3 linked regions of the Sus scrofa genome follow. The protein of the gene in region 2 purifies or fractionates together with the protein of the main gene of each other region. This does not show direct contact. Links are inferred from orthologs where the notes say so. Each region holds a gene or a part of one and is shown on either strand. Other genes may lie near its edges.

Region 1 (3,650 bases), on a different chromosome or scaffold from region 2:
ATGGCGCAGCAGAAATGAATCTGACCAGGAACCATGAGGTTGCAGGTTCGATCCCTGGCCTCGCTCAGTGCGTTAAGAATCTGGTGATGTTGTGAGCTGTGGCGTAGGCCGGCAGCTGTAGCTCCAATTCAACCCCTAGCCTGGGAAACTCCATATGCCATGGGTGCCACCCTAAAAAGAAAATAAATAAATAAATAAATAAATAAATAAATAAATAAATAAATACCACTCTAGCACTTTGTTCTAATCAAACCATTCAAAAGCAAAACCTTATGCACAAGAAACAAAGACAGTCATTTTAGGGCTATTTATAGTAGCAAAAACAAATGAATCAACAAAACCAAAAAAAAAAAAAAAAAAAAAACCTAGAAGGCCTATAATAAATAAATGATTAAATACATTTTGATAAATGGACTATTAGGCAGACATTTTGAAATTCTTTTGTGAAGATTTGTTAACAGAGTAAGAAATTGCTCATTATGGAGTTCCCTTGTGGGGAGTCCCCATCGTGGCTCAGCGGCAATGAACCCACCGCTGTGGCTGTGGTGTAGGCCAGCAGCTGCAGCTCCAATTTGACCCCTAGCCTGGGAACATTCCTATACCGCCCGTGCAGCCCTAAAGAGCAGAAGAAAAAAAAAAAAGAAGGAGAAGTAGCAGAGTTCCTTTGTGGCACAATGTGCTAAGGATCCAGCATGGTCACTGCTGTGGTGCGTGTTCAATCCCTGGCCCAGGAACTTCCACATGCCACAGGTGCAGCCAAGAAAAAGCAGAAGAAATCATTCATTATATCATGCAGAATGAAAAAAAAAAAAATCATCAGATGCAAAGTTACACATATAGTAAAAATCTCAATTGTGCAGCTTTATTTCTGAATGGTGGAAGGATGGATGATTTAAATATTCTTCTACATATTTTTATTTATCTTCCACATTTTCAATAATGAAAGTCATCCCTTCTAAAATCAGAAAAAGGCAGTATCAGCCAATTCTCTAATCCCTCACTTGCCAATTCTCTAATCCCCTCTGTGCCCTGCCCGACGGCCCTCACCTTGTCATCCAGCTGCTTGTAGAGGCGGCGGATCTCTTCCTCGTACTTCTGCCGCTCCTCAGGGGCGATGCGCACCACGATGGATGAGTTGTCGTTCACGGGGGTCTCCTCACAGAGCTCAGCGCCCAGCGCGGCATCCTCCCCAGCCAAGCGCTCCGTCTCAGGCACGTTCTCTCCTGGCAAAGGGGCAGAGCAAGGTGAGGGCTGGGACAGAGGAAAGCTGCATCTGCCGGTCCTTCCTCCCTTACTGCTCAACCCCAGACCTCCAGGCTGCCACCTCTCCTGCCAAGTGGACCATCAACCTTTTGGGGGATGAGGGATAAAGGCAGTGAGCCTCCTCCCCCTTTCTCTCATGACCTTCCTACTGCAGCCCTCCTTGGAGATTGCAGGAACCCTGTGTGGCTCCCTGTGCCCACGGGACCTCTCTAACCATTGCGCCACCGGCTCAGCTCAGCCTCCAGCTTTGCAATCGTCTCTTTCTGAGCCTTTGTCTTCTCCTTCTCCTTCTCATATTTCTTCTTCCACTGCTCGGCGGTCAACTCCAGGTTCACTGAAGCAGTGTTCTTAATGGTCTTTGCCCTGGAGAGGAGAACAAAAAGATGAGACCTTCATTAAGGCTGGCAAGACCCGGAGTTCCCATCGTGGCTCAGTGGTTAATGGATCTGACTAGCATCCATGAGGATGCAGATTCGATCCCTGTCCTTGCTCGGTGGGTTAAGGATCCAGCATTGTGGTGAGCTGCGGCACAGGCCAGCAGCTACAGCTTCAATTCAGCCCCTAGCCTGGGAACCCCCATTTGCCTCGGGTGCAGCCCTAAAAAGCAAAAAAAAAAAGGCTGCTGAGATCCCGAAGAGGGAACAGCAGGGGCCAGAGCAGAGAGTAGGGAACCCTGCCACTGACCGCTGCCCGAACATCAGGGTGGACTTGGTCTCCGCATCGTTGTAGCTGGACGGTGAGCAGCAGATGAACATAGTTGTACGGCAGTTTCCTCCCAAGGAGTCCTGGAGAATTCGTGTCATTTTGCTGTCGCGATATGGAACGTAGCTTTTCTGGGGAGAAGAGGAAGCCATGAATCAGAAAAATAAATTCAACAAGGTCATCAGAAAGGATGGTAGTGCTAACTAGGGATGGAGCAATCCAAGCATCGGGCATGATGAAGTGGGGACCCAAGGAGAAGGCAGAGGATGGGGTGGAGCTTGAGGGGTGAGGCCCCCAAAGGAGCACTCACAGTGCCCTCCGCCAGTGCCGAGATCACATTCCCCAGGGCTGACAGCGATTTGTTGATATTCTTGGCCTCGTCCAGCACGGCTCCCTCAGCTCCAGTCTTGCTGACCTACCAGGGCACAGAAGGGGTGAGTGTGCCATGAGCATCAGCAGAGGGAGGGGGTTCTCAGCACCTCTTCTTGGCGGGGGGCTCAGTCCAAAGAGAGGAGGGGATATGGAAACGATCCTGCCAGGGGCCACTCCCTCACCCACATATTATATGATTTGATTCCATTTACATGAAATGTCCAGAAAAGACAAATCCAGAATCAGAAAGTAGATTCATGGCGGCCAGGGGATTGGAGGGGGAAAAATAGGGCATCCCCTATTGTTAACAGGGGATGAAAACATTCCTGAATTAGTGATGGTGGTTGCACAACCATGCAAACATACCAAAACCACTGAATTGTACATGGAATTGTACATATAATGTAAAAATGGTGAACTTTATGGCATGTGAATTCTATGTCAATAAGAAAGTGATTTTGATCCAAAAAAAAAGGCCAACCCCCAAGGCTTCCTTCCCTGCCCCACCCCACCGCCACAGGACCCTCAACCTTCTCGCTCCCTGCCAGGTCCACGAGATACAGCTTCCCGCTGAGCTTCTGCTCAGTCTCCATATTCTCCTGCTTGATGTTGATGAGGAAGATGCTATGGCTTCGAGAGCTGTGTTCATTCATGTCTGTAGGAGGGAGGGCGGAATAGTCCCTGTATCAACCTTTGCGGAACTGAAGCCCTCAGCCCCCCCTGCCCTGCTTCCACTGACCACCGCCCCCACCCACTGAGAGAGAGGGTATCCGCCAGGACTAGCTCAGACCCTACGTCTCTCAGGCAGCAGATAAGCATCCCTCCTCCTCTGGAGGACAGTCTACCTTTGCTCTTTTTTTTTGGCCACGCCTGCAGCATATGAAAGTTCCCAGGCTGGGGATCGAACTTGCACCTCTGCAGTGACCGGAGCCGCTGCTGTCGGATTCTTCACCCACTGCACCACAACAGGAACTCCCCCTTTCTTGTTTTTGAGGCCCTCATCCCCAGAAGGCACAGAGGAGAGGCAGGCCCCCAAATTCAAGAGCCCCTTATATCCCCACTCACTAGTGACAGCCACATGACGATTTGATTTCCCTTCATCAATCACATCTAAAATCTCCTCTGGGCTGGACACAAAGCGTTCGGTACAACCCTGCAGGGGGCAAATGGACAGTGACCCATGAACTTTGATCTGCAAATTAAACTACCTGCACAGTGTAATGACCTTGCAAGACAGGATCTTTTCCCAGGCCACAGACTTTCCCTAGCCCCTTGGCATGTCTTACCCCTCCAGGATATCCACCCTCCAACTT
Region 2 (3,650 bases):
TGGCTGTGGTGTAGACTGGCAGCTAAAGCTCCAATTGGACCCCTAGCCTGGGAACCTCCATGTGCCGCAGGTGTGGCTCTTAAAAAAAAAAAAACTTTACAGTTTTAAAAATAAGGTCACCAAATATGCTTATAAATCTTAAAAAAATAATTATTTTTGAGAACTAAAGAATAACCCAGAGGCGTTCCCATCGAGGCTCAGTGGTAACGAATCCAGTTGGTATCCATGAGGATGCGGGTTCTATCCCCGGCCTTGCTCAGTGGGTTAGGGATCCGGGGTTGCTGTAGAACTTCTGTGTGCTACAGGTGCGGCCCTAAAAAGTAAAAAGCAAAACAAAAAAACAACTCACAGCTATAGATTAAGTCAGTGTCATGGTTATTTAATGCCAGCTGCTACAGTTTATGGTAATGAGGTATTTAAAGATGTAACTTGTCAAATTCGTCGTTATTCTGTGACTGTGCTCAAATGTCATAGAGACTTGAGTGTCATGTCGTTGCTGTGATATTTTAATTTGGTTTGATTGTGTGAATATTTGCCATTGATACTGAGAGATTAACATGTACTTTGGGGTCATATGGCGAGGAGTTGGGCAAGGGGAATGAAAAGCGGCTCATTTTTCAAATTATGCAGGTCACGTTTTGTCCACGTTGCCATGTGCATGGTCTTTATGACGTCAGATGGCTTTTGTTTTATTTCTCATTTATCCACTCAGCTTTTCAGTGGACTGGGGTTAAAACCCGGGAGAACCTCAGGCGTATCAGGTTGAGGATTATGAGCTGCGAATGATGATCTGTCGCATGCGTTCGTGTAGGCTCCTTCACTCACTCGTTGAGCAGACAGCTACTGAGGACTTGATAGCGTCAGTGATTCACACGTTAGATACGGCGCCCTGCCGGGGAACGATGCCCACCAGACGGACCTTGGGGATGCAGGTGCTTTGACGTCTAGCCTAGAGCCAGGAGGAGTATAGAGCCTGGGCTTCCCCCAGACGGTCAGGGTTTGAGCCGAGTCTGAATACCTAAGGTCCACGCTTCCCAGGCAGGGAGAGGCAGGCATGCAGAAGGGGGCAGCTGCAGCAGCCTCCCTGGGGACTGCATGCGTACAGGCACAAGGTGAGGGCGTTTGTCCAGTATTTATTCACTCCGCTGTGTGCCAGCGCCAACCGGGTGCTAGGCTTACATCGCATCCAGCTGCACTCTGCGGCGTCACGTTTTCACGGGCGAGAGGCAGGCAGCAGAGAACTAAATGGATGAGATGGTTTGGGGTAGGTAGTGATGCTTTCAGAGGAAGAAACGACTCGTGATGTGCTGTGTGCCTTGACCGGGGGGAGGGGTCCCTGAGGTCAGGGATGTGCCGTTAGTGGGGGCGGGGGTGGGCAGAGGGCCCTGCGGGGAGAGGGAGAGCATCGGCGTCTGGGACAGCGAGGTCACAGGGCCCGGAAGGTGGACCTCGAAACAGGAGGGTGCGGTTCAGGGTGATGGCAAGGCCCCCGGTCTGCATGTGGAGGGGCTGGGATGTGGGTTGAAGAGTGGGAAGGCTCTGCTGAAGGCTCTCGATGTGTCGCTGTCAGCGTGACGTGGTTGGAGTCAGGGCTGGGTTTACACCTGGGCTCCTCCAGAACGTGGCAGTCGTCAAACAGCCTTTGGAGAACCCAGCTTGCTCATCTTCAGAATGTGCGTGTGTCACCTACCACGTCGGGGTCCTACAGGCGTTGACTGAGCTGAAGCCTGGGAAGGAAGTCAGCACCGTCCCCCCCAGCCCCCCAGCCATGAGAGTTTAATACATTCTGGTTTAAAAATTTTTTTGTTCATTTGTACCTGCGGCATGTGGAAATTCCCGGGCCGGGGATTGAACCCACACTTCGGCAGCCACCCAGGCTGCTGCAGTGATGATGCGGGATCCTTAACCTGCTGGGCCACTGGGGAGCTCCTCTGGTTATTCGTGTTTTTGCATGGGGGCCAGTTAATCGTGGTAAGTCTGGGAATGAGGCATAGTCATGTTCATGATCGAAAGATCCTTCTCCTAGAACAGGGTGGGTGATGGATTGGTTGGCGTGAGACACGTCGTAAGTGTTTCTAATAAGCTAACTTTGGTCCCCAGGTTTTGGGAAAGGATCACCCTGATGTGGCCAAGCAGCTGAATAACCTGGCCCTACTGTGCCAGAACCAGGGCAAGTATGAAGAAGTGGAGTATTACTATCAAAGAGCCCTCGAGATCTACCAGACCAAGCTGGGGCCTGATGACCCCAATGTGGCCAAGACGAAAAACAACCTGGTAGGTTGCCCGAGGCAGCTCTGGCCATAGAGCCGCGGGCTTTCCTCCTGGGGCTCTGCCTCCCCTCTCACCTGCGGGCAAGAATGTAGGCGTTCGCGTCACTCACACAAGAGAATGGTAAGCGTTTTGTTTTGTTTCAAGGCGTCCTGCTACCTGAAGCAAGGAAAATTCAAGCAAGCAGAAACACTGTACAAAGAGATTCTCACTCGGGCACATGAAAGAGAGTTTGGTTCCGTGGATGGTAAGACATACACTCCTTCCTCGAAGCAGATGCGGGTGTAGAATGCATTAGAAAGAGTGGTTTCCAGCTCGGGAATACTCAAGTCATCACCATATTTTCAAAATAGAATTCAATTTGCATTTATGTTCATTTTATTTAATGTTCTTTTTTTGTCTGCGCCTGCGGGGCCTGGGATTGAACCTGCGCCACAGCAGCAGCACCACTGGATCCTTAACCTGCAGCAGCACAAGGGCACTCCTCATTTGAATTTTAGAGCTGATTTTCTAAGTAGCGCTTAGAGGAGAGGACATGGCCCAGCCTGAGTGGCCATGGCAAACGCCCGCGCACCTGCCCGGGCAGTGCTGATCCTCAGCAGGCTGTGCCCCTGCGGCCAGGCCCGATGGGCCCCCTGCTGCGTTCTTTCCCCACTGCCTTCTCCAGAGTCCACGTGTCTGAGCGGCTTTAAGCATAGTTTAGATGCACTAACTCTGGAGAGCCTTCCTGGAGGCCTTAGTGCTTTCTAGAATTGTTCCCGAAAGACTGGCATGAACCAGCAGCGTCAGCACTACTTGGGACCTGTCGGAATGTGGATTCTCCACCCACCCGGGGCTGCTGGGTTGTTGGACCTCAAGCTCTTTAAGGCTGGTCTCCTTTGCCTTCCTTAAAGAATTGTAGGTACATAATACACGTTTTGGAAGAAATCTTTTCTAAGATTTTGGGAGTTCCCTTCGTGGCTCAGTGGTTAACGAATCCGACTAGGAACCACGAGGATGCGGGTTCAATCCCTGGCCTTGCTCAGTGGGTTAAGGATCCGGCGTTGCCGTGAGCTGTGGCGTAGGTCGCAGACACAGATTAGATCCCGTCCTAGAATAGATTTACAAGGAGATCCTGCTGAATAGCATTGAGAACTATGTCTAGATACTCATGTTGCAACAGAAGAAAGGGTGGGGGAAAAAACTGTAATTGCAATGTATACATGTAAGGATAACCTGACCCCCTTGCTGTACAGTGGGAAAATTAAAAAAAAATAAAAAAAGATTAGATCCCGTGTGGCTGTGGCTGTGGTGTAGGCCGGCGGCTGCAGCTCAGATTCAACCCCTAGCGTGGGAATCTCCATGTGCCGTAGGTGCAGCCCCTAAAAAGCAAAATAAATAAA
Region 3 (3,650 bases), on a different chromosome or scaffold from region 2:
AAAGCGACTCAGAGCTACAGCTGAGAGGGTGAAAGCTTTGGAGTCTGCACTGAAAGAAGCCAAAGAAAATGCATCTCGTGATCGCAAACGCTATCAGCAGGAAGTAGATCGTATAAAGGAAGCAGTCAGATCAAAGAATATGGCCAGAAGAGGACATTCTGCACAAATTGGTTAGTAAAGCACAATAAATAACCTTGCTTTGGTTTGAATGTTTCTCTTTGCTTGAGAATGTACTCTGATTTATTTGTTATGTGCTGCCACAGTGGTATTTGTGTTTTTTAATTTGCCAAAAAGTAACATTGTTGGGAATGAAGAGCAAACTGAGGAAGTCACCTCAAAAGGACAAGAAGAGAGATCAGAACAGCACAGCCAAGTGAGACTGGTCACAGATAGAAGAAACCATGTAGAGCAAAGTTACTCAAGCAAAGAGAGACTTGGAAGAAAATGTCATCCATAGTATTTCATACTTTAATTGTTAATCATTGATAAAGGAATAAGGATTTTCAGAAACTAAGGATTGGATAGGTCCTAGAGGAAAGGATATAACTGAGAAATAGAAAGGCAAAGAGAAAGGGGGGGCAGTTGTTTGCGAAGAAAGAGAAGAGACCTACAGAGTCATTGCAGTCGCATGTTATTTATTCTAAAGTCAGTTTTTGTTTTTCACACCAGCTAAACCTATTCGTCCTGGGCAACATCCCGCAGCTTCTCCGACTCATCCAAGTGCAATTCGTGGAGGAGGTGCATTTGTTCAGAACAGCCAGCCAGTGGCAGTACGAGGCGGGGGAGGCAAGCAGGTGTAATCTTCACAGGGCACCACAGGTTGGTGGTCTCTGGATTTTTTAATCACACCTGTCCATGGAGAGGTTCATTGGCAGTTAAACACCCTTTCGGATTCTCACTTTAGTATCATGGTTTCTTTTTAATGTGTGGGATTATAAGTAACTTTAGTTTTGTCCTGGTTCATGTCATACTATATGTATATTCAAATTTGTGTTCTTACTGTTTTTAGCCTATTGTTAGATCATTTGTTTAAGTTCTTGGTATTGTCTAATGGATATACTATGATTTATAACTACTGCCTTGTTTTATTTTGTTTCATTTTTGGCTGTGCCTACAGCATGCAGAAGTTCCCAGGCCAGGGATTGACCCACACTGCAATGCTGATAGTGCTAGATCCTTAACCCTCTGAGCCATCAGGTAACTCCCTTGTTCCTTTGTGGTTCTTTGTTTTGAACTATTGCCTTTTACTAGACTTTTAATTATGTTAATTTTCCCATACTTGAAATAGTCCAAAATTGAAATTTCCATATATGGGAGTTCCCTTGTGGTGCAGTGGGTTAAGGATTCAGCGTTGTCATTGCTGTGTTGCAGGTTCAGTCCCTGGTTCAGGAACTTTCTCATGCTGCAGGTGTAGCCAGAAAAAAGTTTCATGTTTTCCATATAGTCATTGCAAAGTCACAGTGAAACATCTTTTTATACATCCTCAACTTTGCGATTATCTCCAGATAATTCCCATAAGTGGGATTAGGAGAAAGTGAAACTTTTTTTTTTTTTTTTTTTGGTCTTTTGAGGGCCAAATCGATAGCATATGAAAGTTCCCAGGCTAGGGGTCAAATTGGAGCTGTAGCTGCTGACCTACACCACAGCCACAGCAATGTGGAATCCAAGCCAAGTCTGCAACCAACGCCACAGCTCACAGCAGTGCTGGATCCTTAACCCACTGAGTGAGGCCAGGGATCAAACCTGCATCTCCATGGATATTGATTGGGTTCGTTACCATTGAGCCATGATGGGAACTCCCGAAAGTGAACATTGTTAAGGCTCTTGACACTAACCCTCTTCAGAAGACTGCACCAAATTGCATCTTAGCCAGTGACACTGTCCTTTTTGTTGTATCTTTGCCAGTATTAAGTATTAATAGTTTTTAAGTTCCTATTTTAATAGGCCAACTATCTCATTAATTTATTAACGAATTTGGATATTTTCATGTTTATTGGCCCATTTATATACTTATATTTTTAATGAATTATTTCTGTGTCCTTTCCCATTTACCTCTGTGAGTGGTTTTTATAATTTATGAGTTCTTACTTGTTTCTTTCTAAATGCAAGTAATATTTTTACCATGTAGGGGGATAAAGAATTACCGCAAAGTAAAGTAGGAGATAAATATTATCCAGAGATACCACCCAGTATGTTGTATATATTTTCCTGGGGCTGTCTTCACATATTATAACTTTTAAATTAGAAAGCTTAAACTGTCAGTTAATATTATATTACCAAGATACTATGCTATTCTATAAATATTCTATAAAATACTACTTCGTAGCCTACTTTTTTAACTTGGCCATGTGACTGATTATAGCTGCCTGCTATTTTACTGTATGGTAGGAACTCAGATTTAATCCTTTGGGAAGCCTCAGGTGTGTAGATGGTTTGGAAACTAAAAATATTAGATAACTTTGAGATAGTTAATTGTTTTTATTTTTGACAGATACTAAAGTCATTTTATTTTAATCTTCTTTGTTTTTTACTTTGACATTTTGCATAACATTGGCTGTCAATTTGAGTAGAAAATTAAGCGATATTCTGGATTTAAAAGAGAATGATATAGTGAAAAAAGTATTGATATTGGAGTCCCGTCTGTTTGAATTTACTCTTATGAACTTGAGCAGGTTACTTTTTCAGTTAATTTCTTTCTTATTTTGACCCTTAAGCATAGGGAGTTCCCTGGCCGCCCAGCAGTTAAGGGTCGTCATTATCACTACTATGACTTGGGTTACTGCTGTGGTGTGGGTTTTGTCCTGGCCCAGGAACTTTCACATGCCAGGGCCGTGACCAAAAAAATAAAATAAAATTCTTAAGCATAAAATCAAATTACAGATTAAGTTTTTTAAAGCTGGTAGAGTTCCCATCATGGCTCAGCAGGAACAAATCTGGGACTAGCATCCATGAGAGTGTGGGTTCAATCCCTGACCTCCCTCAGTGTCTTGAAGATCCGGCAATGCTATGAGCTTTGGTGTAGGTTGCAGGTGCCGCTCAGGTCTGACGTTGCTGTAGCTGTGACATAGGCTGGCAGCTACGGCTCTCTTTGGACCCCTAGCCTGGGAACCTCCCTCTGCCATGGGTGTGACCCTAAAAAGACCAAAAAAAAAAAAAAATCATTTTTTGGGTTCTCGTAAACATTGTTATAAGACTGTATTGTAGGTAATAGGTGCTTTATTATTGTCTCTCATCAGAAGATGTTACAGTAACTTTCCTGCCAATTAGGAGAGTGCTTCTGTTTTTTCCCTCTTTGGATTGGTAACTTGTTGAGCTCCCCTTATTACTAAAATCAAAGTCATTCTTGAGAGTTATACAGTTAAGATGTCATTAACTAGTAAAGAGTGGGTGCCAAGTAGATGCAAGCTGCCTTTTCTGGAAGTGGAGGTGGGCAAAGGCATTTTCAAAGCATAAATATAAATACAGGTAAAAGTTTATCTTTTTTGGATCTTGTCCTCGCGTTACAGTTCACATGTGAACTTTAACCTCTTACCTCATTTGAGAGAGAATGGTCCATCACCTTTGTTAAATACAGCTAGGTTTTAGCTGGAAAGTAGAATGTAATGACAGCAGTTTAGCACATGAGGGAGATAGTTAACCTAGCTAGACCA

Evidence for each region. Proteins that work in one complex are often made in the same cells at the same time.
Region 1: the proteins of KLC1 (region 2) and KIF5A purify together in Homo sapiens (co-immunoprecipitation; 7 studies listed by BioGRID and IntAct, counting the BioPlex papers as one, with this or other methods). This does not show direct contact. The link is inferred for Sus scrofa from reciprocal best matches to the Homo sapiens genes KLC1 and KIF5A.
Region 3: the proteins of KLC1 (region 2) and KIF5B purify together in Homo sapiens (co-immunoprecipitation; 11 studies listed by BioGRID and IntAct, counting the BioPlex papers as one, with this or other methods). This does not show direct contact. The link is inferred for Sus scrofa from reciprocal best matches to the Homo sapiens genes KLC1 and KIF5B.

Annotation. Positions count from the first base shown.
Region 1 is NC_010447.5:22,833,731-22,837,380, reverse strand, and holds part of KIF5A (kinesin heavy chain), read right to left. Parts: intron 3,491-3,650; coding exon 3,403-3,490; intron 2,993-3,402; coding exon 2,868-2,992; intron 2,381-2,867; coding exon 2,276-2,380; intron 2,097-2,275; coding exon 1,948-2,096; intron 1,627-1,947; coding exon 1,478-1,626; intron 1,224-1,477; coding exon 1,048-1,223; intron 1-1,047. UniProt on the Homo sapiens protein: Microtubule-dependent motor required for slow axonal transport of neurofilament proteins (NFH, NFM and NFL). Can induce formation of neurite-like membrane protrusions in non-neuronal cells in a ZFYVE27-dependent manner.
Region 2 is NW_018084979.1:2,191,213-2,194,862, forward strand, and holds part of KLC1 (kinesin light chain 1), read left to right. Parts: intron 1-2,100; coding exon 2,101-2,274; intron 2,275-2,415; coding exon 2,416-2,515; intron 2,516-3,650. UniProt on the Homo sapiens protein: Kinesin is a microtubule-associated force-producing protein that may play a role in organelle transport. The light chain may function in coupling of cargo to the heavy chain or in the modulation of its ATPase activity.
Region 3 is NC_010452.4:42,641,532-42,645,181, reverse strand, and holds part of KIF5B (kinesin-1 heavy chain), read left to right. Parts: coding exon 1-170; intron 171-669; coding exon 670-800; 3' UTR 801-819; intron 820-3,650. UniProt on the Homo sapiens protein: Microtubule-dependent motor required for normal distribution of mitochondria and lysosomes. Can induce formation of neurite-like membrane protrusions in non-neuronal cells in a ZFYVE27-dependent manner.